7 linked regions of the Cricetulus griseus genome follow. The protein of the gene in region 4 purifies or fractionates together with the protein of the main gene of each other region. This does not show direct contact. Links are inferred from orthologs where the notes say so. Each region holds a gene or a part of one and is shown on either strand. Other genes may lie near its edges.

Region 1 (4,097 bases), on a different chromosome or scaffold from region 4:
TATATATGGAAGTGAGAAGTTGACATTAAGATGTTCTCCTTCATTATTTCTCCATCTTCCATTTTTAAACATTTCTTTTGTGTGTGTGTGCCATAGTACAAATGTGGAGGGAGGTCTACTCCTTATACCATGTAGGTTCCAGATATGAAACTGACGTCATAAAGCTTGGCAGCCAGCAGCTTCACCTCCTGAATCACCTTACTATCCCATTGTTTTGAGCCTGAGTCTTTCAGTGAACTCTGAGCTCATTGAAAATCCCAAGATCTTTCTATCTCTATATGATCCACCCCTAGTGCTGGAGTTACATGTTCATGTTTTCACATGGGTGCTGAGGATCCAAACTCAGAATTTACTGGTTACACAACAAGCATTCATTAACTGAACCTGTTGTATTTTTGTCAGACATTGTCTCACTGTACAGCCAATGCTGGCCTGGAACTCCAGATCCTCTTGCCTCAGTTCCCAAGTGCTGGGATTACAGGATGGACCCACCATTCCCATCGAAGCTACACTTTAGACTTAATCTTAAGACTTGTAGGCTGGGCAAGTAGCTCTGTGGTACAGTGCTTGTGTTGCATTTCTGAAGCCTGATTCTATTCCTCACTGGCAGATTTTGATTCAAATTAAATTCTTTCCCTTCTTTAAAGAAATCTCCAGTGTAAATGGAACTGTGGTCTTTCCTTGATAAAGTTAGCATCTCAAATCAGTCCAGTGAACAGAAACAGTCCTTGTTGCTGTTTACTTCCTTCCTCCTAATCTCAGTCAGATGTGGTTAAAGAAAGTCCTTAGAGGAGTAAACTATAAGGAGAAATTATATACATTCCAAAACCCAATTCAGTATTTACTATAATACAGGCTACAGTGCTAACTTATTCTGTGTTCCTAGTACCATTATTAATCCACTTTCTGGGCATTGCTTGTAAATACATCTGACTGAACATTTATCTTTATTGTACTTTATGGTACCAGCTCTAGAGTCATTCCTAGGGTGGCCCAGTGGAAGCTGTCTTTCCAAACATCAGTATCAGTGCTCACTGGACCTGCTTCTAGCATCTGAGAGGCTAAAGATAAATGATACAGCAAAGTAGGGGGGAAATGCAGTTTAAAAAATGCAGGATGAGGTTGTGTGGCTTAGTGGTAGTTGTTAATGTGTGTAACGTGCAAGCCCAGGTTCCTAGCACAAATCAAACAAAAAGGTCCAGGATTCCAGGTAGGATTGGATAGTGCAGTACTACTCAGGAATATTGCTGCTTTGTCCACAGGATTAAGCCATGGATCTAGCAGGTGAATTTTTGGTGGGGAGCACTACCAAACCACTATTAGTTGTATAGAACTCACAAAGCTATTTGTGTATAGTAAGTGTCACTGTTTGTAAATCAGATTGAGGTTCTCATAACCCAAGAGGGGAAAACTTAGATGTTTGAAGGGTGTGGAAGCCAGGAAAGAAGTGGATGCTGTATGTCATATAATTGGGTTTGCTGATTAGGTTGCACAGTAATGGACTAGTTTGGTTGGGTTGGTGTGGTGGTTATGTTGATAGAATGTGCTTATATCCTGACTCATTCTCAGAATTATTTGGGACAACCCAGAGAATGTTGATATAATGTGAGCTTCTTTATATACTTTATAGCTGGCCATGATCCATTGGCTGGATTTTTATCTGTTTTACTTTTCAAAATGGAGTTGTGATATGCTTCTCAGGCTAGTTTTAACTTCCTTCCTGGGCTCAAGTGAGTGTACCAATTCATTCTCCAGAGTGAATCATGGGATTGCAGTTATGTCCCACCATGTCCAGCAGATTGTATATAATAAAAATTTAATGATTAAATAGTCTGAGTGTAGCTAAGTGGTAGTAGAGTTGCCTACTTTGCTCTGAACCAATATGACACAAACTATTAATAATTAAGTAAAATATGTTATTTCTGTGGGGAATGATATAAAAATTGTGTATAGTTCTAATTAAATTTAAGTTTAAATGATATGCCTACAATTGGCCTCTACCTATTCCTTCACAAACACTAAGAAATTAAACTCCTTTAGTACAACAACCAGTGATGTGTTCTTTGGGATTATTGGTGTTTGGCTTTACTTTCTGGCATTTAGTAGATAATAAACATTTGAAAGGAGCAAACAAGTCAGTCACATAAAACTTTGGAGAAAGAGTATTATAAATAAGTAGGTCTAAGTGATTTTAACATTAATATTATAATTTTATTTTGGTCATTTCTTTCTTAGCTAAAAAGCTGCCAAAGAATGAACCACAGAATCCAGGTGCAAACTCTGCCAGAGGACGAGGAGTAGACCTTACTGAGCCTGCACAGCCAGCCAGAAGCCAGTGTTGTAGTAACTGAACTCCAGTGTGAACTTCCTAAATGGAAAAAATCGTGGTGTGGGAGCATTTAGCCGGCCCAATGTGACTTCCAAAAAGAGACTTATGGTAGAATCAAGTTTCTAATACTGAATTATTTTGAGTGTTTTGAGCTTAATTTTTAATAACATGCATGTGTTCTTCCAACTAATGTTTCGGCAGTAGAAAGGGAAAAGGAACCGTGTACAATTTGTTTGTGGGAAAGTGCAGGGGAACCATTCGTCTCCATCGGGGGTAGATCCACACTTAACCCACCCAGTCTCCAACCTGAGATAATAGTCAGGTGTGAAAGATTCATAATTACTAATGTGAGCTTTAGGAAAACATTTTTAGAAGACTAAAAATATTTATGCTTAGCAACAGAAGACAAGCAAGTGGTAATTTCTCCTATTGGCTAAAAAGTGTACATTCCACATATTAATAAAATAATCCTAAGAAAACAGTCCTACATCTCCAGAAAGAATGAATATTAGTGACATTTTACTCAGTCCTAAAATTTGAGTGAAAAGAAGTCATGTGTAACCCCATCTTGTTTTAGGAATATAAAAACTGATGAATGCATTTTAATGGATAGTGGTCCCTTCGTGTGAGCTCTTCAACAAAGTGGAAACAAACCAGGTGTCTGATTTCTCTTTAATCACTGTTGGCCATTACATAGAGGTCTGTCTGGAGCAGGGAGGGAGCTCTGGTTCCTTTTGGACATGATTGGTCAGTGCACTAACAATTATGTACATTCAAACTTGATTTTAAATATGATCTTCAGCTGTACTGTAAATAGAGTACTGCATTGTAGTCTCCATGTTTATTATTTTCTGTAATATTTAAGAATTGCCTAAGCGTATACAAAATGTACAGTTACTAAAACAGCTAATTATTTCTTTATTCCCCCTATGAAAGGAAGGGGCTTTGCTGTTCTTACATGGCTAGAACCATAATAAACACTGTACCTACAATTTGTAACATAAGTATTACAATGTTATTAGTAATAATCTTGAAACCTTGTTTTTCAAAGTCCATTTTATTTTGATCAGTATGTTGCACTAATTATTTTAGGTATTTCCATTATATGAAATCTACCATGTGTCAGATGATTTAATCTGTTTAAGTGTCAATCTGCTAGCAGAACTTGTACATTTTACAATAACTCAAAATTAGTAAGGAAAACAGTTCACCAGGGTTTAGTTTTATATTGAGGTGCTCAGGTTGGAATAAAGTGGTATAAAAAGCAACACTTGAGTTTTCTTTCTCTTTAACATAAAGTAGTGAGCATAACACATTTATTGTATATAACCAAACGCTTTTGTATTTTCTTCCTGTTAAGAATCATTGTCTAGAGTCATGATCTGTCCTAGAATCTGGTGTACTGAAGTCTTTGTGGTGCTGTTTGCTGCTCTGGGTCTTTGGAATGTTTTTATGTCAGCAGCTGATACTCACTCCCATTGAGAAACACTACCATAACAGTGATGCTCTCTCTGGAACCACCTTCTAAAGCAGCCCTTACTAGTTCATGGCCAATGTACTCAGCTGCACCTTCATAGAAATTCTTAGCATATAGTTCTTTCTCGCTTCCCGTCTTACTGTCTATAGTGCGTGGGCTGTTAGTTTCTTTCTTGCTGTGAGTGTCATAATTAGTCATTTCTGGAGGAAATGTTTCTGCATTTTTAGCCTGATTAATGCAAGCTTGAGAAAATACTGAATCAGATGACCTTTTTGTTAGATTAGTAGTTGA
Region 2 (4,054 bases), on a different chromosome or scaffold from region 4:
TTAGTCAACATTTAAATTCCTGAGCTGATTAAAGTTAAGAGCATAAGGTCTAAAAATGTATTAATATTAGTTCTGGAGTCTGTAGTGAAGAATTGCATGGCTTGAAAAAAAAAATCACTTGTTGTCGGGCTTTGGTAGCGCACGCCTTTAATCCCAGCACTAGGAAAGCAGAGACAGGAGGATCTCTGTGAGTTCGAGGCCAGCGTGGTCTCCAGAGCGAGTCCCAGGATAAGCTCCAAAGCTACGCAGAGAAACCCTGTCTCGAAAAACCAAAAAAACAAAAAGAAAGAAAAAAATTACTTGTTACTGCCCAATTTTGCAGAACGATACAGAATTAAGTACTAACTAATAAAACAAACAAAAACAACAGCAGACCTGAAAAAACAAAAACAAAACCCCCAACAATTCAACTTTATAAGTCTAGGCCTCAAGTAGGCAGACTGGTTTAGGCTGACTCTAGCCTGTGTCTCAACCACACAATGCGGAGCCTTTGAAGGTTGGGAGGTCATGATGGAGTCGCAGTTTCAGAAAGATAAATCTGGCTGTATGTGCAAGTGGACTGGGGTGGGGGGCGGCAGAAAAGAGACAAAAGCAGGGTCCATTTGCAGCTACTGCAATGTCAGGTTGCTAAAGTAAAATGGTTTTTAAAAAATGAGAAAAGAACGGATCGGGTGAATAAGAAGCGCAAGATCCACAGAGGCGGCTTGACTTTCCTTCTGTTCTTAGAGCTGTCCGGAGGCTCGTGTGGATGGCCCCCAGGGTCGCGCCAGAGCAGGGAGGTGGTCCTCATACCTCCCTTCCAGCCCCAATGGCCCCTCCTCACTCTGTCCTGGAGTCCCCAGGAGCCCCCACCCCCTCGGATGCGGCACCGCCCTCCGCCGGGTTCCTTCCCCTCCCCTTCCCGTGGGGCGCCGACTCGCCCAGCTGCCACGTCTCACTGATGACATCAACACAGCCCGCTCGGCCTTAGCCAATCCGCTAGGGGGAGTCCGAGCGAAGTCCTAGCCAGCAAGCCAGAGGGGAGGGGAGCAGGAAGGGCGGGGTGTGGGGTGAGGGAATCGGGACGGGGCGGACGACAAGCTCGCAGGTGCGCACGCGTGCGGGGCGCGGGGCCTGGTGGGAAGCTGAGTGCAAGCTGTCCTCGGCCCCGTCAGGCTGGCCAGCGTGCGGTGCGCTCACGACTCTATTTCCCGGCGTGCCGCGCGACGCGGCCGCCCTCTGGGCCGCGACAGGCCCCTTGGCCTAGGCTTCCCTAGTTCCTGGTTCGCCGGCGGCCATTTTGGGTGGAAGCGATCACTGAGTGGCGGCGGCTGCTGATTGTGTTCTAAGGGTCGGAGTGGGGTCGACGTTTGCTCTACCGGAACAGCTTAGCTCATTCCTTCCCTTCCATTACCCGTGGCGCGGAGAGTCGGGGCGGCGGCTGCGTCAGCAAGGGCGGTGGCGGCGGCGGCAGCTGCAGTGACATGTCCAGCATGAATCCCGAATAGTGAGTGCAGGAGAGCCGGGGCGGGCTGGGGGTGAGGGCGTCCGGCCGGGGGGTGAAGGCCACCGGGAGGCTCGCTGCGCGGCAGCGGGAAGGTCGGCCGGGCGAGCGAGGCGGAGCGGCCCCAGGGCCCCATTGTCTGACGGCCGAGGGCCGCGGCGGGGAGGGGTCGGGCCTCCGGGGCAGGGGCCGGGGAGCCGGCGGGGAGCTGTGTGCCGCGGCCGGGCGTTGGGGAATCGGCCTCGGACAGCGGCCAGGAGGGGCGCGTCTCTGGGAGGCAGTGACGGCTGGAGGAGGACTTGTTTTTAAGGGAGGTAGGTGGGAGAGCTCTGCTAGAGGGCACTGTCAGACCCTGCGCCGGCTCTGCGGAGCTGTCAGCCTCGGCAGCGAGGAAACCAGCTTTCCTTGTAAATCCTCAGCTTGTTACAGCTCTCTCCCCGGCGGGTTTCAGGTAATATGGATGTTTCTCGGGACTGCGTGGGTTGAGGAGATGGTGAGAAGGTATTTACAATGTTTAGTTTCCTTTTGGGCTTGTCTCCTGAGGAGTTCTTTAAAGAGTGTGAGCCATGGTCCTTCTACAATCCTGGGCATTTGTGAAATTTTTGTTTTAGAGGACACCTAAGTCTCCAAGTCACCTTTTGTTTTCAGTAGGTCAACAATAACAACAACTAAAATTAAAAATGTCTTCCTGGCACCGCCAACTTAAAGTACGAGTTTGCTCACAAATTGGAAAAGAGCTTTGATAGAGCTGTAGGTTTTAGATTACCTAGTTGAAAGCCTGTAGATAGGGAATGAGGTTCCATGACGTGTCATGAAAAGTTAATGCATTCCTTTTTCTTGCTTACTCAAGAAGTCACTATAGCAGATGTGACACACCTGGCACCTTTCATGGGAACTGGTGATCTCTTTTCTTGAGTAGACATTGTTGGGCTCTTTTGAACTGCACCTAAAATCCTCCTATACTTTTATATATGAAAGTTAACTTGAAGAGATGGCATTTTTGTTCTCTTTAGTGTCAGAAATCTTTAAGGGAGTGGATTTTTTTTTTTTTTTTTTGATAAGAGAAGCCAGCATAGCCTTAAAGCTGAATTTGTTGCTTGATCAATTACCGCTAAGTGTTTCCCCATGAAAGGTCTATCCATCAGTTTAGCTGACTTGTCATCATGTGTGTGTCACATGGCTCTTGCAAAATGCATTCTAAGTTCCAAGTTTTGTAAGACTGTGGTTTTATGCTGAGATGTTCTTTTTCATTTGTGCTAAGCAGAAGTCATAGTATCTTGGTAGAATTTTACATTAATTTTATTGTGTGTGTGTAATGCATGTGATTGCAGGTGCACAGGTGCCACAGTACTTGCGTGAAAAAGGTCAGGGAACAAATTTTAAGAGTTGGTTCCATCTTCCTTTGTGGTTTCTGAAGACTGAACTCAGACGAGCAGTCTAATCATAGAGCCATCTTACTGGTCCAGACTTTTGTACTTCTTTAAGAAGTTGGGAACAGTTCATACTTGCTGTGTTGGCAGCCCCTTCCCCAAGTCACCGACTCTGCAGGACAAAATTGGTTTAGTAGAGCAAAGTTGAATTGGGTTCCTAGTTAGTTTTCCTGGCATCCGTAAAGAACTTGGATTTAATCAGCCTGGTGTTGGACGGTGGCGTAGGCGGCGAGCACTCTGGAGGCAGAGGCAGGTGGATCTCTGTTAGTTTGAGACCAGCCTGGCCTACAGAGTGAGTTCCAGGACAGCCTCTAAAGCTACAGAGAAACCTTGTCTCGAAAAACCAAAAAACCAAAACCAAAACAACAACCCCCCCCATGGATTTACTAGACTAGGGAGGTTTGTAAACCTGTACTATTTGAGGAGTTTCCTATATTTGTTTTGTATGTATGTATGTATGTATGTATGTATGTATGTATTTGGTTTTTCGTTTTTCGAGACAGGGTTTCTCTGTGTAGCTTTGGAGCCGATCCTGGCACTGGCTCTGGAGACCAGGCTGGCCTCCAACTCACAGAGATCCGCCTGTCTCTGCCTCCCGAGTGCTGGGATTAAAGGCGTGCACCACCAACGCTCGGCAATTTTTTCTTTTTACAAAATTATAATTTCACATGTCAGTCCCTTCTCCCCCCCCAACTTCTCCCCCAGCCCCCTCCTCCCTCCACTCCCCATAGAGGGTAGGGCCCTCTACGGGCCTCCCCAAATTCCACAACATTCTCTGTGTAGCTTTGGAGCCTATCCTGGCACTCCTTCTGTAGACCAGGCTGGCCTCGAACTCACAGAGATCTGCCTGACTCTGCTTCCAGAGTGCTGGGATTAAGGTGTGCACCACCAACGTCCGGCTTTGTTACATATATTTAAATATTATTTATTTGTATGTGTGTGTTTGAGGTTAGAGCAGTGGTTCTTAACCTTCCTAATGCTATGACCCTTTAATACAATTCTTCATCTTGTGGTGGCCCCCAGCCATAAAATTATTTTTGTTGTCTCTTCATAACTGTACTACTGTTATAAATGGTAGGGTCTCGACCCCTAGATTGGGAACCACTGGGGTAGAGCCATTCCTTGGAGTTGGAGTTACAAA
Region 3 (3,906 bases), about 46 Mb from region 4:
TTTTGTGCACAGCACTTGAAACAAGTTCTGCAAAGAGGTGTTCCCCCGTCATCTGAGAGCCAGTGGGCAGGCCCAGAGAGGCCGACCACCCGAAATGGGGCAACCTGAGGCCTAACTCTACAGAATTTGATCATCAGCATTTTTTTTTTTTTTTGAGGCTGTCCTGGAACTCAGTCTGTAGACCGGGCTGGCCTGCAACTCACAGAAATCCACCTGCCTTTGCCTCCCGAGTGCTGGGACTAAAGGCCTGCGCCACCAATGCCCGGCCTTTGCCTGTGATCTGAGGGGCAACCATTTTGAGGGACCGAAGGAGGCCTCACCATCAGCCGGGCGTGGTTGATGTTCCAGGTGAAGGTGGTCATGGTTTGCTTCTGTGGGTCCACAATCGAGTCCTCCAGGATGTACACCGAGTGGGCGACGTTGGCAGGAAACAGTCGCTCTGCCCAACGTGGCATCCTGTTGGTCTTGGTCAGGAGTCTCCGGGACAGAAGCTTCTGGTCAGGAGTCACCTCGCGGTGCACGATGTCTTCGGTTAAGACATGTTTGCTGCGGGCGTGGCAATGAGGAGGATTCTCAGAGGTCTGCTCGTGATCAGCTGTGATCCACAGGTTCGCATTTGGAGCCTCCGGGTCATGGCTTCCCGCAATCTTACTGAGAGCACACTGAACCTATCCCCGGGCAAATTCCACATCCTCCCTCCCTCCTCCCCTCCCCTCCCCTGACCTAGTTGTGAGGCTGTCCAGGCTCAGGGCTTGGACCACCTGAGAGCGCCGCGGGCAGGCGAGCAGGCCGGCGCCGGCCTTTCTCCACCCTGCCCGCCCGCCGCGGTTCCGGCCCGGACAGCGGCCTCCGAGGGCCTGGCAGGCCGGTGGCGGCCGCAGTGGGCACTCTGCGTTCTCACCGCGCCGCCGCCTTCCCTGCCGACACTCTGGGCCGGCCGCGGCGCCCACGTCCACACGCGGACAGGCGATGCTCGCCCGGCCCCGCCGCGTACCTGTAGGGGTTCGGGTACCGTTGCCAGAAGGCAGCGAACACTTGGTCCCAGGAGCTCCGGAGCACGCTCTGGCCCAGGAAATACTTCACCATCGTCCCGACCCGGGCGGGCTCAGCACCCGCGCAGCATCAGGGTGACGAGCCCGGGGGTGGGGGGCACGAGGCTCGGCGCACGCCCGCCAGGCTCGCAGCTCAGTCACCGCCGCGCCGCGCCCAGGTCCCTGCCGCCGCCATGGGGGGACTATAGGACTGCGCGACGCTTCCGGCGCCGGCCGGGCAGGATCGGCCACTTCCGGCGTCCGCGCCACGTGACCAGAAGTCCCGCCTCCTGCCGTCCAGTGCCGGAGGTTCGGGTCGCAGTCAGCGCCGGGGACCCGGGTCTCAGTCAGCAGCCCCGGCGGCGCGGAGCCTCGGTGCCCGCGGCGATCGCGCGGGGGAGCGGCCCAGGCTCCGGCGACGCGGCGGAGGGCGCTGTCCGCGTCCCCGCGCCGCGGGCCTGCGAGGGACGGAGCGCCCGGGCCGAGGCCCTTGGGGTTGGGGTCTGAGGCTCGGGCTCGGCCGGGGCCGCGCGGACCCCGCCGTGGCGAGGCGGCCCCGGGAGCATGAGCGGGCAGCGCGTGGACGTGAAGGTGGTGATGCTGGGCAAGGAGTACGTGGGCAAGACGAGCCTGGTGGAGCGATACGTGCACGACCGCTTCTTGGTGGGCCCCTATCAGAACGTGAGTCAACCCCTCCCTCCGCAGCAGGCGCGGGAAGAAGGGGGCCGGCCCCGCTCGACGCTTATCTCTCCCCTGGTTGCAGACCATCGGGGCTGCCTTCGTGGCCAAGGTGATGTGCGTCGGAGACCGGACGGTGACTCTGGGTATTTGGGTAAGTCCCTCGGGGATGCATACAGTCTTGAGCAAACGCATCCCCAGGTGTAATGTCTTGCCTTAAACTAGCCAACTGGAGCCCCATAGAGGGCGTTTTTCCTTCCCCACACCCATTAGCTTAAAAAAAAACGGGGGTCTGGAAGACGCGGGCCTAGTTCGTAGTCTTATGAAGGAGCTCATTAACTCCTTTCACCCGCCAGGACACAGCAGGATCTGAGCGCTACGAAGCCATGAGCAGGATCTATTACCGGGGTGCGAAAGCTGCCATTGTCTGTTATGGTAAGGGGTTGGATTCTGGCCTGTTCAAGTAAGGTTTGGGTTACAGGCCGGCATCCGAGGTTAACTACTGATTCTTGGTTGTGTCTCCCGTCTGATCCCTACCAAGACCTCACTGACAGCAGCAGCTTTGAGAGAGCCAAGTTCTGGGTGAAGGAGCTGCGCAGTTTAGAGGAGGTAGGTGGCCAGATCTTACAGGTCAGCGACAGGGACTCCCTTGGCCTGTGCAGATCATCTCAGCCTTGTCTTCTGCTACAGGGCTGTCAGATCTACCTGTGTGGCACTAAGAGCGACCTGCTGGAGGAAGACAGGCGGCGCCGTCGTGTAGACTTCCATGATGTCCAAGACTATGCAGATAGTAGCTGTTATAAAGTCTTTTGAGGGTGGGGGGCAGGGGGTGGGTGATACCTGCTTGAGCCATCACAAGGACAGAAGACTGACAGCCTTGGCTGCTCTCTGCCCTTCTTGACCCTATGGGATCCAGGACCCTGAACTGGTAGCTTTAGGTCTGAGCTTCAGGTATGAAGACTTAGTCACTTCTCTTTGCAGATATCAAAGCCCAGCTCTTTGAAACATCCAGCAAGACAGGCCAGAGTGTGGGTGAGTGTTGTCTTGAGGTCTGTCAGCAGGAGCAGGCAGGACACTGGAGGAAAAAAGTTCAGAGGGCTGGGTCACTCTCGGGGGTTCCCGGAGCTCTTGGCACCAGGACCTCACTGATGCTTTGCTTGCCAGACGAGCTCTTCCAGAAAGTGGCAGAGGATTACGTCAGTGTGGCTGCTTTCCAGGTGATGACAGGTGTGTACTTCCTACCCTTTAAGATTGCCTCTAGGCTCATGGTCTCTAGCCCTGTTGGGACTTACCTGTTCACCTGCCATGATGGCGCTGAGCAGCCACCTCTCTCTTTGACAGAGGACAAAGGTGTGGATCTGAGCCAGAAGGCAAACCCTTACTTCTACAGCTGTTGTCATCACTGAGTCACAACTCATCTGGCCTGGGAGAATTAAATGAATTCCCCAGAGGGGCTGGACCCAATTCTTGTCTGGGCTGGCATGGTCAAGTGTCTGAGCTACTCCAGGTGCCCATGACAGCAGAGGTGGCACCTGCCTGTGCTGGCCCATGGAACGGAGGCAGTACTGGGCAGACTGTGGGCATGAAGAGGGTTAAGGGCAGATTTGAATCCCAGGCTTCTATCCTGGACAGAACTTGTCACAGGTTATTTAAGTAGCTTCTGAACTGTAAATAAAATTGATGCACTGTGACTCACAGCCCCTTCCCTGCTGTGTGCACTGGGTGTCAAAACACCCGGTTGTTCCTGGGGCCACCTGCCTGGCCTCACTTCCTCTAAGACTGACCATTTGGAAACCAAGTAACTGTCACTGCGATCATGGAGGAGCAATGGGCTCTTACATCCCCACATCCATGTGCGTTTGTATGTGTATGTGCATGGAGAGCAAACCCTCAGGGCTTCTAACACAGGCAGAAGCTTTACCACTGAATGATACCAGTCACTTTGTTCTGTGGGGATGAAGACAGGCTTAGAAACTGGGATGGAGGAGTACAAAGCTCATGAGAGCAAGGAAAACACCTACTAAGTTGTGCCACAGATGAAAAGGCTTGGCCATCACCAATCTCAAGACAAGGTGGTTTGGCCAGCTCTACTTCTCGTGTCATGTCTAGACCTGTGGCTCTATGAGTCAGCCCCCAGCCTCCCTGGGACGCCTTGTAGTGTATTTAACAAGAGGCAGTCCATAGTTCTGCAAGTCAG
Region 4 (3,500 bases):
ACTTCTGCAATGCTTGTGTATCTTAGCATTCACGAGTTACATACTGTATTTAATTACATAATATATTGAGACTTGAAAGTCTTATCTGACTAAAAGTTTACTTGACAGATAAAAGTTTTATCTGATTAAAAATAAAATGATTTGTGTTTTACCTCTTATAGTTGTATTATACCTCAGCCTCTCGTTACATTATAGGTATTTTTTTTTCTACTTTTAGTTATACAAAAGATTTAAGTTACCAGGACAACCACCAGCATCAATGGGGAGAGGAAGAGACTGGAATGTTGACTTAATTCCCAAGTTCCTTATGGCCAATGGTAAAGAATGCTAGCATTATTTATGACTGTATGGAATCTGGGTTGGAAGTAGAGAACATTATCCCAGGTCTGAGGCCCTGGGGAATTGGTTGATGTCAATAGTATGTTTAGTAATATGTTTCATTAAAAGTGTCTGGAGTCTAATTAAGAATGGAGGGAAGGAGGTATAGAAAATAGCTCTGAAAAGAAACAAAAGCATGATGTGACACAGTGCATGTTAAAATTGAAGATTTTGTAGTATATATTATATATGTATGTAAGAAACTATAGACATTTCACACAGTTAGAAACATTTGTTGCAAATCTGGTGTGGTGTAGTACAAACAAAAATTCTAAATATAATAACATTGTAAGTACCTTCGAGAGACTTTGGGAGCCTGAGTCTTAAATGGTCTTTTAAAGGCTTTCTAGTGTGTAAGCTGTTGAGATCACCTAATTTCTCAGGATTTTAGAGGACTGAACTATCTTAAAATTTCTGTGGTGTCTATTTTTTTCTAAGATGGTATTAAAAAATGAGCCAGGTGCAGTGGTTTACACCTGTAATCCCAGTACTCAGAAAGCTGAGGCAGGAAGATTGCTGATAATGTGAGACTTTCCTGTGCTACAAGTAAACTTTAAGTCATCCATGTCTCACAGTGTGAGGCTCTGTCTGGAAAAATAGAAAACAAAGGAAAAACTAAATTTTTTGTTACAAATTTATTTCCCATGAAATATAGTATGTGTTATTCTTTTTCTTTTTTTGAGTTACATTTTATAGTTTGTATTATAGATACATTGTTTGAATGTTCTTTTAAATTTAAATAATTGAATTCTTGTAAATTATCCAAGTTTGTATAGTCTAGGCAACATTAACAGTAAGCAGGAAGGAAACAAAATTTGCATAGTCAGAATCCCACTATCTGGATTTTTTTTTTTTCTTTGCAGTGCTAGGGATAAAACCTTAGATTTAATTGTGCTTAACATTTTGATGTTTGAGATACACATATGCATAGTCCCAGTTCCCATGCAGTTTTCAGCCAGTGTATAATGTATGTGTAGGGGGTGTAAGAGGGAGGAAAGGAGTGTGTGTGACTGATGACAGATAGCATTGGGTACCCTTAGGAGAGAATTATGGATTTTTGTTTGTTTGTTTGTTTTTGTTTTTTGAGACAGAGTTTCTCTGTGTAGCTTTGGAGCCTATCCTGGCACTCGCTCTGTAGATCAGGCTGGCCTCGGACTCACAGAGATCCGCCTGCCTCTGCCTCCCGAGTGCTGGGATTAAAGGCGTGCGCCCGGCAAGAATTATGGATCTTTTTCAGAAGGCTTTTTCTGTTTATTACCACATTTGGCTTTTGCCTTTCCCAGTACCGTTATCAACCAGCCCTTGATAGTATTCATTTTTGTTTCTGCCATTTGCCATTGTAAGGTAAAATTTGAATTTTTACCATAAATCTGTCCATTAGAGGGTGGAATGAGTTTTAGTTATTGACCAGCTTTCCTGTTTATTGGTGAATTGACTTATTTTCTATTAAGTTGTGTTCTCCTTGCAATGAACTCCTTATAGATATCACCTCTCTGAAGACACAGGGGCAGCCTTTGTAGACAGGGACTTTGCTGCACAATTCTATTGCATGTGTTTTTCTTTATAAAACATTCGTTGGTCTTTTAAGGTCACAAGGCTTAATAATGGGGCCAGTTGATGTAATTTTTCAGTGTACTTTAATCTCTGCTGCATGAGAATCTCTTTATACTTTATTTCCTTAATTTTTTTTGTTGTTGTTCTGGAGTTTGAATACAGGGTCTCACACATGCTAGATAAATGTTTTTACACTAAGTTATGTCCCCCAGCCCTAACTTCAAAAATGATGTGACTACCCTGTTGTAGTTATCCTTTCAAATCATCTTTAAAATGGTTTTGGTCTCACAAAACTTTTGGCTGATTTGGGTAAGTGAGCCTCCTTGGTCTTATAGGCAGATGGGATTCCTAATTGTAGTCCTTAATCTATTTGATGTTGATATACTCTTAATAAATATAAGTAGACTTAGAAATTGAAATATTTGGAATTGTCTGTGACTGATACAGAACTGCAAGGTTGCCTCAATTCACTCACCAGTACATATTTCATGGCCTTTGTTAGCCTACAAGTTGTAACATTAAGCTTAAACGTATGCTTAAGGTGTGAATTTCTAGTCATACCATTGAAAACACAGCTTTGGGGGCTTCTTGGTAAGGATTGCTATACAATTCTTTAGGAAAATTTTGGGTGCTAAGTTTTATTGGTAGTAAGGTTTGAGTGACAGCTTGCATTACATGACTTTTTCAGGTCAGTTGGTGAAGATGTTACTTTACACAGAGGTCACTCGCTATATGGATTTCAAAGTGATTGAAGGGAGCTTTGTCTACAAGGGAGGGAAAATCTACAAGGTTCCTTCCACTGAAGCAGAAGCACTGGCATCTAGTAAGTAATTCTCATTTATCAGAATGACACGATTTTTATGGTGAAAAGGAGTCCCAGAAACCTATTTGTCTAGTCAACAGATAGTTATAGTGCCAGACACTCATTTAGGCCCTTCTTAATGTTCTGTTCTGTTTAGGAGAGGAGGGGAAAGGATGTGAAACTAGAAGTTTTCTTAGCTTTTTCTTAGTACCAGCTATATGCTATTAGTAGGAGTACTGACTCAAGAGAGCTTGGGATTTAATTCTCTCTCTCTCTCTCTCTCTCTCTCTCTCTCTCTCTCTCTCTCAGCTTTTTTTTAAATATTAATTTAATATTTTTAGACAAGGTAATGTCCCATGTATTCCCCCCCCCTTTTTTTTTTTTTTTTTTTTTTGGTGTTCAAGACAGGGTTTCTCTGTGTAACAGCTCTGGCTGTCCTGGAACTCACTTTGCAGACCAGACTTGCCTCAAACTCAATGAAATCCACCTGCCTCTACCTCCCTGGTGCCGGGATTAAAGGTGTGTGCCACCACCACCCAGCTCAGTGTGTTTCTTTTAAAGATATTTTATTTTTATTGTGTGTGATTATTTGCCTGATATGGGTGCTGGGACCCTAACTCAGGTCCTCTGCAAGAGCAGCAAGCTCTCCTAACTGATGAGCCATCTCTCCAGCCCTGCTTATAGCTGTTTTTTTAAAAGTGTGTAGAGCAGCTCACCGATTGTTTAAGTTTCATTAAAGTAAGTGACCCACAGGGCGGTCAGCTTC
Region 5 (4,172 bases), on a different chromosome or scaffold from region 4:
CTTCCGCTATGGTTAAGACATTCCCATTGGGAGGAAGAATGATTCGGACGATATGTCTTAATGATAAAACTAAGACCGATCAGTGAATCAACTGGAGGGAGATGGCTTAGAGAATGCCAACGTCTCCAAAGCTTTAGGGGTGCTTAGAAGGAAGAAAAATCTGTCTAAGAATATGAACACAACTGTGATGGTCACAAAAGAACATGACCAAAGGCTTAGGTTACACACGAAATGCAGATTTTGGTGATGGTGAGTTAAAATGAAGCTTTAACCTCTCTTAAAAAAAAATTTCTATATGGTTTAACCAGCTCACCAGTTTCAACCACTGTACCATCACATTCTGCATGTGCTGGAGTGATGGAACCTACTGAGAAAGGTAGGTTAGAAATGTAGCCATTTCAACTACAGAACGGAAGATGAGAAAAGGGAAGTATAAATAAAACACAGAGAGAGGAAAGAAGGGGGTAAGGCAGATGAGAAGACATGGCACGGGTTTGGCGGTGCAAACCCGCAAGAGAAGCACTCGGGAGCTGCAACTGGCAGATCATGAATTGGAGGCCACCATGGGGTACGTAGCCAGACTTTGTAACAAAATAACCAACCTACAAACAAGTGAAAAAGTTGGGATGGGACAAGCTTTCGGGTTTTCGATTTAGTGATACAACTTTGGCAAAAGTGACCCCGTCCGCCTTCTCTGTCTAGAGCGTTCCGGCTCCAGGGGATTCCAAGGGCTATTTAGGCCTGGAGCAGCGAAGCTTCCATTTGCAGGGAGGTTCTCCCCGCACCCGGTGTTCCTCAGGCCGATGACATCATCCCGATCCCAGGAGTGCTGCGATCTTTCAATTTGGAATTCCAGATCCTTCGAACTCTGGCTCCTTAAGAACACGGCGATGTCACGACCGGCCCACAAGCGAGGGCCCTTCTGGAGACGTCTAGTTTTAGTAAGGAGGTTCTTACTAAATGGCCCAGGACACTCCTTTCTCTCATCTACGAAACACACACCACACACACACACACACGCGCGCGTGGCCACCCACGCCCGTCGCTCAGCCAACTTCCTTCGCCCCACAACCAGAGACTGAGGGGGAACAGAAGATCCCAGCAATCAGCAGGGCGCCCCGGAAAAGGCGGGGGGGGGGGAGAGCAGGGCTTCAAGGCAGTAGTGCGCCGGCGCAGTTCCCAGGCCTCGCCCCCCCGTGGGGCGTGTTCGTCAAGCCACGCACCCAATCAGAAGGCCGCAGGGAGCGCGCCCGCGGCCTCGCCCTCTCTAGTCCCACCTCCGCGTGCCCTGCATGCCCTCCCGCGCGCGTGCGCAGAAGCCGGCCGCAGGGGCGAGGGCGCGAGAGAAGGGCGGGTGTACGTCCTTGCGTGCGTCTCAGGCAGCGCGCACGCCGGCGTGAGAGGGCACGGGGAAAAAGGTGGCTCTGGCCGGGGCGGCTCGGTTTCCTGGGGTTATGTAGCAGGGCTCGTCGGCTCGCGAGACCTCCTTCGCTGCCCTCGCCCGGGTCCTAGCGCGGAGTATCTGCTCCGGGCGGAGGCCGTGTTCAAGCCCGCCGCGCTCCCTCGACGTAGAGCTCGCTCGCTCGTCCGTGGGAGCGTCCCGGCCGAGCCGCGCTGAGGGGGGAGGGGAGGCCATTTTGTCCCGACCGACTCCCCGGAACCGGGCGGAGCGGCTGGGAGAGGCTGCGGAGCCGCGGGCGCCGCCCCTCGGAGGCACGGGCGCCGCCACCGTCGGGGCTTCCTCGACGAGGCCGTTCGGAAGGTCTCCCGCTCGGTCTCGAGAGTTGCTTTCTCCCTGGCATACGCTTCTCCGCTGCTGCGGCCCCAGAACGCCCGGGTGAGGAGTTGGCCGTAGTGAGCAGCACCGATCCCTTGGGGCTACCGGCGGCGAGCGCCCGAGCCGCTCCTCCCAATGGCGAAGAAGACGTACGACCTGCTTTTCAAGCTGCTCCTGATCGGGGACTCGGGAGTGGGCAAGACCTGCGTCCTTTTTCGTTTTTCGGATGATGCCTTCAATACCACCTTTATTTCCACCATAGGTAAGACCTGTGGGAAGATGATGTGGGGGGCTCTGTAGCCGCGAACCTTTTTCTTTTATTCCAGACATCTTGCTTCCCGGAATTTACGCCTTTGTTCCAGTGATTCCGATTCCAGACGACAGACCTGAGTTACTGTTGGAATCGGAATAGCGCTTACTGGGGCGGGGTCTTCCCATGCTTTCCATCCGGTCTTTGCTTTCAAGTCTCCTTCTCTGTTCGTTGCCTGCTGGCACAAAATATGCAGCATTTAGCAGCGTTCCAGAATCCTGTTTCTTTAAGTGACTTGAATGGCCTTTCCATAATCGAGTGAACTTACTTGATGTGATACTTGTAATAGGCATATTTTAGTGGTTGAGACTGAAGCATTACTGGCTATGTGGTAAAGGCCCAAATTTATATTTGGGGTCACAGAGAATATTCCGTCTGGCTGTAACTTGGAGTAAACTTGAGAGTTGCAGAATCATTAAAGAAAATGAGAGGGGCCGGGCCGGGGGGGGGGAGGTGAGTTGGCTGTCTTGACTAAACCATTGATGTGTCAAACAATTGGAGGCTCTTCGTGCTTGGGGTGGGAATCTGCCACGATTGGCTCACAGTGCCTTTACAAGACCTCAACAGAAATAATAGACTGAGGGAGATGTTCGGTTTCTGTCTTCCACACGATGGAATCAAGTCAAGCTCTCGTGTTTTACTTGACACTAGAATTTACAGGAAAATGTTTCGCCGGTCATGGCCCTAAGGACTTCTAATGTACTTTTACCACATATTTTGGAATTACTTGGTATAGAAGTAAAAGTTGAGGGGGTGGGGGTTGACCTTTTTAAATGGGTTTCCTGTTTCGGAAATGAAAAGGGAAGGTTCCAAGAAAGTCGTTTTGACTCTGGCACCAACATTAATTTTGTCAACAAACAAACAAACAAAAAGCTGTGCATGATACATCTCCCCCATCCTTGCCCCCAGTTTTTGAAAGTATCCTGTGTCTGTCAGTTTTGGACATCAGCTTCAGTATTAGGGCAGTGCAGGAAAACTTGCGATAAATGTAACAAATTTTATGATGAGATTATTTAGGGAAGCAGCCTTAGTGGTTTTTCAGCTCTTAAGAATTGTAAAAATCAAACTAATTTTAACCAATTTAGAGTATTATTGAAATCGGCTTGGATTTCTTTATGACACATATTTATCAATAACTTAAACTCATTTGTATAAAACAAGCTTACTGAAATTAAAGTGAACAAGTTTTTAGTTAAAATAGGTTGTTTTGTTTTATCTTACTGGTGGGAGGGATTGCCAGAATTTCATGAAACTTAAACTTGCCCTCTGCTTTGTGGGTTAGCACTGAGTTTGCTTTGAGGTGTAACTGGGTGAGTCAGGTGGTTAGATCAGCAAATATTTATTGAGCACCCAATGCTAGGCACTGCTAAAGGTATTGGGAATAAGTGGTGGATACAATAGACCCCTTGACCATTCTGAAGAAGACTGTCACAGTAGTGCGAAAAGCACTACAGTGAGGAGAGGGAGGAAAGGACTAGTCTGAATTATGGGGAATCTGAGTAGCTTTCCATGGATAGTTTAAAATGAAGCCTGAAAGACAAGTACTGGATCAGAGGGGAGACAGCCTTTCTGAAAGAGAATTTAATGTGTGGTCAGTTTTGTAAATCCTGCCATTGAGAAGGGTGAGGTGGAAAGTAGGAAGCAAAGTTTTTTCTCCCTGCCTCCCTCCCTTGTTCCCTCTCTCTCTCTCTCTCTCTCTCTCTCTCTCTCTCTCTCTCTCCCTCCCTCCCTCCTCCCTCCCTCCCTCCTCCCTCCCCTCTTTCTTTCTTTCTTGTGAAAGGTGACACTCAGCTCCCTAGCTACCTGTACTCAGGTAGTGGGAATCGACTAGCCTCATGCTTGGTAGGCAAGCTGCTGAGCTACATCTCCAGTCCTGATTCTGTAGTCTTTGTTGTTCTTTCACTTGGGAATGGGTTGTTTCTCATGTAGCCTGTTGTGTTGGAATCCGTGCTCCACAGGTTGCTAACTACAACTTTGGCTACAATGTATTAAATAGTATTAAACTGTGTACAAGTACTGTGTGTGGTGCTTGTGAGGATTTTATAGGTCTTTGAGAGCAAAGTCTTTAGCAATGGTGCCAGGTAC
Region 6 (3,087 bases), on a different chromosome or scaffold from region 4:
CACAGGGCTTATCACTCTTGCTCCCTCAGCAAAGCAGCCCTGTTTGGACACAGCATGAAGACAGCCATCTGCATAACAGGAGAATCCCCTATCTGAAACCCAGTGAGTCAGCACCTTGGTCCCAGACTCTAAAATTGTGACAACAAAATAAAATGTCATATGTATAAGCTGTCCGATATGTGGTATTTTGTTATGGCCCACCCAAGTATTCCAACAAAAATCTCAACAGGCTTTCTCTTAGCTGGGAGAGAGTTGGAAGGTAGTTACAGGTAAGCAGAACCACATACTAAAGATAGTGAAATAGAGATGGTCCAGGTAAAGCAGTGGCCTCCAACATGTGGGCTGGGATCCCTTTTGGGGTCACACATCAGATATTTACAATTCGTGAAGCAGCAATGAAATACTTTTATGGTTGGGGGGGCAATGAAATACTTTTATGGTTGGGGGGTGTCACCACAATTTGAGGAACTATAATTAAAGGGCTGACGTAAAGGAACCCAGACACTGCCAAGACAGTCCAGGAATTCTGGAGGAAGAGCATGAGTGCTTTAACAACTGGTCACACTTCAAGGGGACAACAGCTATTTCCCAGCACTCACTCCCACTAGGAATGTGGGTTCTCAGGAGGGAAAAGTGACCAAAGCTGAGTTATACCCAGACCTTTAAAATGTATCTGACAGGAAGAGGACTTTTTCTTGTTGCTGAAGCTGGCCTTCAACTCCTGATCCTCCTGCCTCCACTTCCCAATGTTCTACCACATCTGGTCTCTACTTTCAATGCAGCCCAGGCAGTCCTGGATCTTGCCATCCTCCTCTCTTCTTATTTCAGCTCCCTAAGTGCTGAAATGCCAAGCAGACCCTACCACACCAGCTAAGAGCCCTTTTCCCCTAGGGCCAAAGTCTATCAAAAACAAGAGTTGGGAGATGGGACGGAAGATGGATGGAAGGTAGGCAGAGGTGTAGTATCTACTCACAAAGAGTTGATAAGGTCACTCTGGGCACATTCCCGAGGACCACCTGTGAAAGGACCATGTGTTGGTGTGGTCAGGACTCTTGGTGAGTCAGGGAACTAAAAAGCCCCATACTAAAGGTTTGGAGAATTCAAAAGGAGACCTAGGTTCCTCTTTCCAGGAAAGAGAAGATGAAATATTAAAAAGGATAACAAACCTCATGAGAAAGAGCAAGGGGTCAGCCAAGATTCTGTGCTGGCCATTCAAAGACCACTGTTGTGGGATATTTTGATAGCACTTACTGATTGGTTTGAGCTCTCTTGGTTCTGGAATAAGGGAAGAGACGTGTTTCTTAGGGTGTATCCAGCCAAAAAGGAAGGTCAGCTAGTTGCTACTCAACCTCTCTGAGCTAGCAGGTTTTCACCCCAGCCTTTGACTTCCTAGTCTTATTGGTAAATAGAATGATAGAGACTCAATTTAAAACTACTGGGGGGGGGGGCGCACTGACAGAGGGGCTGTGGGGTGGCATACAATGATGAGAGGCTCAGAGGGACAGTGCTATGAAGATGGCAACTGACAGAGCCAGCAGTTAAGTGTTGTGGTACCACCCACAGCTGGGGAGCTTCCCTAGGTGAACTACCCAGCCTCATCCAAACAGTGGGTCACCTCACAGAAAGAGGAGCGGCAGGTGGAGGGAGCCTGACAGTGGTGCCAGTCAACACAACAGAAACGGGAGACACTTCCATGTGTTTGGATTTCACATGGATACATGCATGCTAAGAAAAATCCAGGTGGGAGGGGAGATTGGGGTGGTGGTGGAGGACACCAGAAGAAAGCATATTTTTGGGGGGGGCTTTCTTGGCATTTGGATGAACTGTCCTACCTGGGTAGGCCCACCACTGTCATGAAGCACTTTGTATAGCCCCTCTAAGCCAGGACTCCCACCTCTGGAACAATTCATAGCAAATCTCTGCCACCCACACAGCCACTAGTTCTGGTCTGCTGGGAATCAATGCATTATCAACCCAGCTTCCTAGAGATGGGAGACCCTGTCTTGACTTTCAAATTACCACCTACCTCATGTATCACTGCAGACCCATGCTGTTTTCTATATCGTGCATGATGACACCTTGTGGCCTGCTTTAATTTTCCATGGCCCTCAAAAATGCTGGTAGCCCAAGCTTACATTTTTAAAAAACTTCCCCCATACTATAACAAGCCCCAGGATCTTGCATATGCTAAGCAAACTCTCTAGATTGGCCACACTTCCAGCACTACTATGTTGTCCTAGCTAGCCTTGAATTTGCCATGCTGTCTCAGCTTCCTCCCCTGGCACACAGTATCTTCTCTAGAGGAGGGTAGCTGAAAGCTCTGAGTTCCCTGACGGTTTTCTTTTTATTTCTTATTTGTGTATATAAGTAACTACTCTCAGGAAAGTGCCACTTCATGGTTTGAGAGCTGAGTCAGGGGACCACCATCACGCTACATATGGCCTTGCTTGAGGTGGGGGGCAGAAGCTCAGACACGGCTAGATGGCAGCTGGGATCTGACTGAAGTTCATCTCATTAACTAGAAGCATTGCTTGGCAAGAGGCCTCAGGTGGCTTGATCTCCTAAAAGTCCAGGAGCAAACAAGCCCACACCTCTTTCACCATGTGTCTGTTTTGTTCCCCCAAGGTCTTCCATGTCTGAGACCAGGCTGCCTGGAAGGCTCTGTATCTTAGGTAAGTGTTTTATCACCAAGCCATACCCTAGCTCTGCCCTGTCTTTTAGATGACTAACAAAGCTGTGATCTCCTAAGGACGGAGGCAGAATATGTTATGACCTACCCATCTGGAGAAGCACCTTACGTTTTCCCAGGTGCAGCTTGGGAAGAAAAACATCTAGGAAAGAACACAGGACATCACCAGAGTGTGCCTGCAGCTGCAGAGCCCTGCACCCACCTGTTTAAGGGCATTCCGAGCAATTGTCTGGAAGGCCTGCTCCACATTGATGGCTTCCTTGGCACTGGTCTCAAAGTAGGGAATGTTGTTTTTGCTGTAGCACCAAGCCTGTGCCCTCTTTGTGGCCACCTACAGGAGGGAGGACATTACTGCCATGAACAGCTCCAAGACAAGTACACTGGTGAGAACAGATCTG
Region 7 (4,048 bases), on a different chromosome or scaffold from region 4:
AATCCCTGAACTCAGATTGGCTAGATCTCCTGCTCAGGGATTGCTTAGTTTTCTGCACAGGCTTGTGGTCAGATTTGGCTCTGGTTTCAGGGCCAAAGTGTTTCTTTCACTGGTCTTTTTAGCCTTTTGGCTCTTGTTTTAGGACCAGGGTGTATTTCTTTCACGGGCTCTGATTCTAGGGACAAAGTGTGTTTCTTTCACAAGTTCTTTTAGCTTTTGGCTCTAGTTTTAGAACCAAGGTATATTTCTTTCACTGACTCTGATTCCAGGGCCAAAGTGTGTTTCTTTGGCACTTATTGCAGGGCCAAAGTGTGTTTCTCTGGCTGGCCCTTTTTCCCTACACCCAGCACTCAGAAGGCAGAGGCAGGCGCATCTCTGTGAGTTCGAGGCCAGCCTGGTCTACAGAGCAAGTTTCAGGACAGCCTCCAAAGCTACACAGAGAAACACTTTCTCGAAAAAAACAAAAACAAAAACCCAGAAGGGAAGGAAGTGCCACTGTAAAGCCTGGGAAAGTCACCTCACCTATAGCGTCAGCATACTCAGCCGCTGGTGTGGGGTGAAGGAGCCTGCATTTCCGGCGGGCACAGAACAAACACTGCCATTACACTGATCTGCCACTGTCCTACCAGCGCCTGCCCCCGCTACGGCCTCTGGGATGGCACGCCTCAGGGCCTCGCGTGGCGGGCTCACTGGGGCGAGCCCGGAGGCCTCGGCCGAAAAACCTCCACAAGGGAGTGAGCGCAGTGACTCATGCACTTCCCGCGCTTCGCCGCAGTGCCTAAATGCGACTGCGCGGGCTGCGAAGGCGGGAAAGCTGAGGCGTCCTCCGCGCGCGTGCGCCCTCTGCTGGAGCCAACCGTCTTCCAGCACGCATGCGCATTTTCACCAAGCCCGTCCGTCCCTCGCCGCCCCTAGCGCGCGGAATTGTTGGGGTCCCTCCCGTCAGGGGCGGGGAATGAGAAGGTGGGGCCAGGGCATAGCCACGCCCACCGCCGTTCATTTGAAGCCCCCCCACTCCGACTCTCCATCTCTAGCCAATCACAAATCTCGCTACCCCAAGGGCCAGCCAATGAGCGGCGCGGTGCGGCTGCTTCCGGCTCTGCGCCGGATTCGTCTCTTTGCCCTGAGCTCCCTGCGACGGGCGGGGCTCCGGAGGGCGGGCGTCGGCCTCGGTGACGCGCGGCGGGCCGAGGTCCAATAGGGGGCGGGATCTGAGATGATGGACGGGTCTAGCGGCCAGTGGCGAGGCGCCGGCCGGACTTCCCGTCGGGGAGAGAGTGTAATATGGCGAAGACCTACGATTACCTGTTCAAGCTGCTGCTGATCGGGGACTCGGGGGTGGGGAAGACCTGTGTCCTGTTCCGCTTCTCCGAGGACGCCTTCAACTCCACGTTCATCTCCACCATAGGTAGCGGCGCCTCGGGGCGGCCGGGGACCGGGGCTGGGCGCGCCCCTGTGGGGCTGGGCTGAGGGATCGGCTCGGTATCCACCCGGGCCGAGGATCCGGGAGGGTCGTGGGCCCTGACGGAGGACCGCAGCGGCCTCCGTCTCCTCGAGGGGACGCCGCGAACGAGGTGCAGACGGGAACACTCAGGCTGCTGTCTGAGGGAGAGGCTGCCCTGGGCTGGGGTCCTGGAGCCTGTCAACTCTCTGTCCTCACAGCAGCCCTCGAGACGGTAATTTTGGGAGAGATCCCCGTCTTACAGAAGTGGAAACTGAGGCATGGAAGTGACACCTGACCTCGTGCATCATTCCCTATGTGCCAGGTTCGGCCTGTGCACTATCAAATACTGTAGTGCTCTCGGGTTGGGTGTTGTGTCGCTGAAGGAGGAATTTGAAACTGAGGGAGGGTGTGGCACGCACTGAAGGTCAGTCTACAGGTGTCAGGGTTGAGATTTGAACCCATGTGTATCTGACTCCCAAATTCGAGGCCTAGCTGTCCCAGAGAGGTGCCGCCTTATACCCTCACAGGGCCAGCACCATCAATTAACCTTTAAGTCAGGACTCCAACCCAAAGTCCTGCTGCCCTCTGCCTGAGGAGTGGTGCTAGTACCTGTCACCCTGGTGGAGATGTGAGAAAAAAGTTCCTGTGAGAAACTAAGATCGGCCACGGCCACGTGCAGCCTTGACAGGACACCACCTGTCACTTCCTGAACAGCTTTCCCCCAGGGCTGCCTCACGGTGCAGTTGAACAGAATTGGCTTGTGATTGACAAAGTCCTGATGTCAAAAATGGCACAGACCTTGGACCTGGAAGTAACTCCTGTCAAACAGGGTGGTCTGCATGCTGTATGGCCCTGGAACAAGAGAATGGTGCCTAGGCCTGGTTTATCCCAGGCCAAGCTGTTGTTCAGTTGGTGCAGTCCTGGGGTCCATCCCCAGCATCCTGAAACCAGGTGTGCTGGTAAATAGCTGTAATGACAGCACTAGGTAGGTGGAGGCAGGTGGATCAGGAGTTCGGGTCATCCTTGGTTACATAGACTGTTCAAGGCCAGGTTGAGCTACATGAGTCCTGGCTCAGAAAGAAAAGGAAAACATAGGGAATGATTTCTGTGTAATGTCAACTAAGCTGTATTGTCTCCCTGACCGGACCATTGTGTGCTAATGTCATCGGAACTCTCCTTCCTGGTGGGCACTCTAAAACAGTCAGGTGTCAAGTACAGAAAATTATACCTGGACTCCAGGTGCTGTTCATCCTTGAACAGGCTCTGACCTTTCTTATGTGATTTGGTTTAGAGCAGATGTGGCACTGTCTGTCTTGGCTGGTGCCCGGGGTGGTTGAGGGTTAGCTCTATACAACGAGTGAAGAGGTCCATCTGGGGGAAGCGGAGGGTTTAGACACCCCTGGACACAGGTGCATCTGAAGCTTCTCCCCTCCCCCCCCCAAAACATCCAGCTTTGGAGTCACCCTTAGGTGAGGACCAAGCAGGAAATGACAATAGCTGCCCACAGGCTCTGGCTTGCTCTCAACACAGACCTCAGTTTCCCGGCCTCAGACACTTCCTAGTCACCAACGTATTAGTTCAGGGTGGTTTTCTGTTTGTTTGCTTGCTTGCTTTATTGTGTGTGTGTGTGTGTGTGTGTGTGTGTGTGCTCTTGCATACTCATGCATATATATGAGGGCTGGAGGCTAGAGGTTGACACCAGAGTGAACTGGTTGTCAACAACCAGATCAGTCACTCTCCTTGCTGCTGCTTTTTCTTTTTTCTTTTTTTTTAATTATTTTATTCGGAAGGTAGGTGCATGCTGGTGCACATGTGGGGGTCAGAGGACAATCTGTGGGAGTCTGTTCTTTCCTTCCACCATGTGGATCATTGGGACTGATCTCAGGCTGCCAGGCTTATGGGCAAGTACCTTTACCCACCAAGCCATCTTTGCTGAGTCTCTCACTGAACCTGGAGCTCACTGAACCTGGAGCTAGCCCTAGGACCCTTCTTTCTCTGTGTCACCAGTGCTGGGATTGTAAGTTGATACCACCATGCCCAGGTATTTTTATATGGGTTCGAGGGATCAAACATGTCCCTAGCCCTTGTTTGTTTGTTTGTTTGTTTGTTTGTTTGTTTGTTTGTTTGAAACAGGCTGGCCTAGAATTCACTGTGTAAACCATGCTGTCCTGGAACTCTTGGAAATCTGCCTGCCCCTGTTTCCCAAATGCTGGAATTACAGATATGAGCCATCCTGCTCCACTGGTTTTGTTACATTTATTTTGTGTGTGTGCATATATGCCAAAGTCAGGAGACAACTTGTGGGAGTTAGTTTTTTTCCTTTCACCAAGTGGGCCCCAGGAATTGAACTCACATCATCAGGCTTAGTGGCAAGCACCTTTACCTGATGAGGTTTCTTGTAGGCTCTTGTTTTACATCTCACGTGTGTTTCTCCAGTTTTTCTTTTTGAAGTACTGGATATGGAGCCCAGGTTAACCACATATCTGACCACTGATCATATCCATCTGGATGGTTTGAAACTCTTGATCAGAAAACCAACTTAGTCCTTCGGGGTCCCTGGGAGACAGCCCTCCTTTACAGTGAGGTAAAGGTAGCACTTGAACC

Evidence for each region.
Region 1: the proteins of Gdi2 (region 4) and Rab5a purify together in Homo sapiens (affinity purification with mass spectrometry; 3 studies listed by BioGRID and IntAct, counting the BioPlex papers as one, with this or other methods). This does not show direct contact. The link is inferred for Cricetulus griseus from reciprocal best matches to the Homo sapiens genes GDI2 and RAB5A.
Region 2: the proteins of Gdi2 (region 4) and Rab1a purify together in Homo sapiens (affinity purification with mass spectrometry; 6 studies listed by BioGRID and IntAct, counting the BioPlex papers as one, with this or other methods). This does not show direct contact. The link is inferred for Cricetulus griseus from reciprocal best matches to the Homo sapiens genes GDI2 and RAB1A.
Region 3: the proteins of Gdi2 (region 4) and Rab24 purify together in Homo sapiens (affinity purification with mass spectrometry; 3 studies listed by BioGRID and IntAct, with this or other methods). This does not show direct contact. The link is inferred for Cricetulus griseus from reciprocal best matches to the Homo sapiens genes GDI2 and RAB24.
Region 5: the proteins of Gdi2 (region 4) and Rab10 purify together in Homo sapiens (co-immunoprecipitation; 3 studies listed by BioGRID and IntAct, with this or other methods). This does not show direct contact. The link is inferred for Cricetulus griseus from reciprocal best matches to the Homo sapiens genes GDI2 and RAB10.
Region 6: the proteins of Gdi2 (region 4) and Rab7a purify together in Homo sapiens (affinity purification with mass spectrometry; 3 studies listed by BioGRID and IntAct, with this or other methods). This does not show direct contact. The link is inferred for Cricetulus griseus from reciprocal best matches to the Homo sapiens genes GDI2 and RAB7A.
Region 7: the proteins of Gdi2 (region 4) and Rab8a purify together in Homo sapiens (co-immunoprecipitation; 5 studies listed by BioGRID and IntAct, with this or other methods). This does not show direct contact. The link is inferred for Cricetulus griseus from reciprocal best matches to the Homo sapiens genes GDI2 and RAB8A.

What each region holds. Positions count from the first base shown.
Region 1 is NW_023276806.1:249,770,615-249,774,711, reverse strand, and holds the end of Rab5a (ras-related protein Rab-5A), read left to right. Parts: intron 1-2,235; coding exon 2,236-2,351; 3' UTR 2,352-3,597; downstream 3,598-4,097. Other genes in the region: Pp2d1 (protein phosphatase 2C-like domain-containing protein 1), read right to left, coding at 3,780-4,097. UniProt on the Homo sapiens protein: The small GTPases Rab are key regulators of intracellular membrane trafficking, from the formation of transport vesicles to their fusion with membranes.
Region 2 is NW_023276807.1:86,287,706-86,291,759, reverse strand, and holds the start of Rab1a (ras-related protein Rab-1A), read left to right. Parts: upstream 1-1,254; 5' UTR 1,255-1,463; coding exon 1,464-1,486; intron 1,487-4,054. UniProt on the Homo sapiens protein: The small GTPases Rab are key regulators of intracellular membrane trafficking, from the formation of transport vesicles to their fusion with membranes.
Region 3 is NC_048596.1:274,309,615-274,313,520, reverse strand, and holds Rab24 (ras-related protein Rab-24), read left to right. Parts: upstream 1-1,313; 5' UTR 1,314-1,595; coding exon 1,596-1,712; intron 1,713-1,794; coding exon 1,795-1,863; intron 1,864-2,065; coding exon 2,066-2,144; intron 2,145-2,250; coding exon 2,251-2,318; intron 2,319-2,399; coding exon 2,400-2,499; intron 2,500-2,690; coding exon 2,691-2,741; intron 2,742-2,873; coding exon 2,874-2,936; intron 2,937-3,050; coding exon 3,051-3,115; 3' UTR 3,116-3,406; downstream 3,407-3,906. Other genes in the region: Prelid1 (PRELI domain-containing protein 1, mitochondrial), read right to left, coding at 321-546, 995-1,086.
Region 4 is NC_048596.1:228,629,340-228,632,839, forward strand, and holds part of Gdi2 (rab GDP dissociation inhibitor beta), read left to right. Parts: intron 1-217; coding exon 218-317; intron 318-2,620; coding exon 2,621-2,755; intron 2,756-3,500. UniProt on the Homo sapiens protein: GDP-dissociation inhibitor preventing the GDP to GTP exchange of most Rab proteins. By keeping these small GTPases in their inactive GDP-bound form regulates intracellular membrane trafficking.
Region 5 is NC_048600.1:14,240,577-14,244,748, reverse strand, and holds the start of Rab10 (ras-related protein Rab-10), read left to right. Parts: upstream 1-1,372; 5' UTR 1,373-1,912; coding exon 1,913-2,039; intron 2,040-4,172. UniProt on the Homo sapiens protein: The small GTPases Rab are key regulators of intracellular membrane trafficking, from the formation of transport vesicles to their fusion with membranes.
Region 6 is NC_048601.1:55,318,992-55,322,078, reverse strand, and holds part of Rab7a (ras-related protein Rab-7a), read right to left. Parts: exon of another isoform or gene 3,021-3,087; coding exon 2,892-3,020; exon of another isoform or gene 2,626-2,891; intron 1-2,625.
Region 7 is NW_023276806.1:246,924,205-246,928,252, forward strand, and holds the start of Rab8a (ras-related protein Rab-8A), read left to right. Parts: upstream 1-1,248; 5' UTR 1,249-1,284; coding exon 1,285-1,408; intron 1,409-4,048. UniProt on the Homo sapiens protein: The small GTPases Rab are key regulators of intracellular membrane trafficking, from the formation of transport vesicles to their fusion with membranes.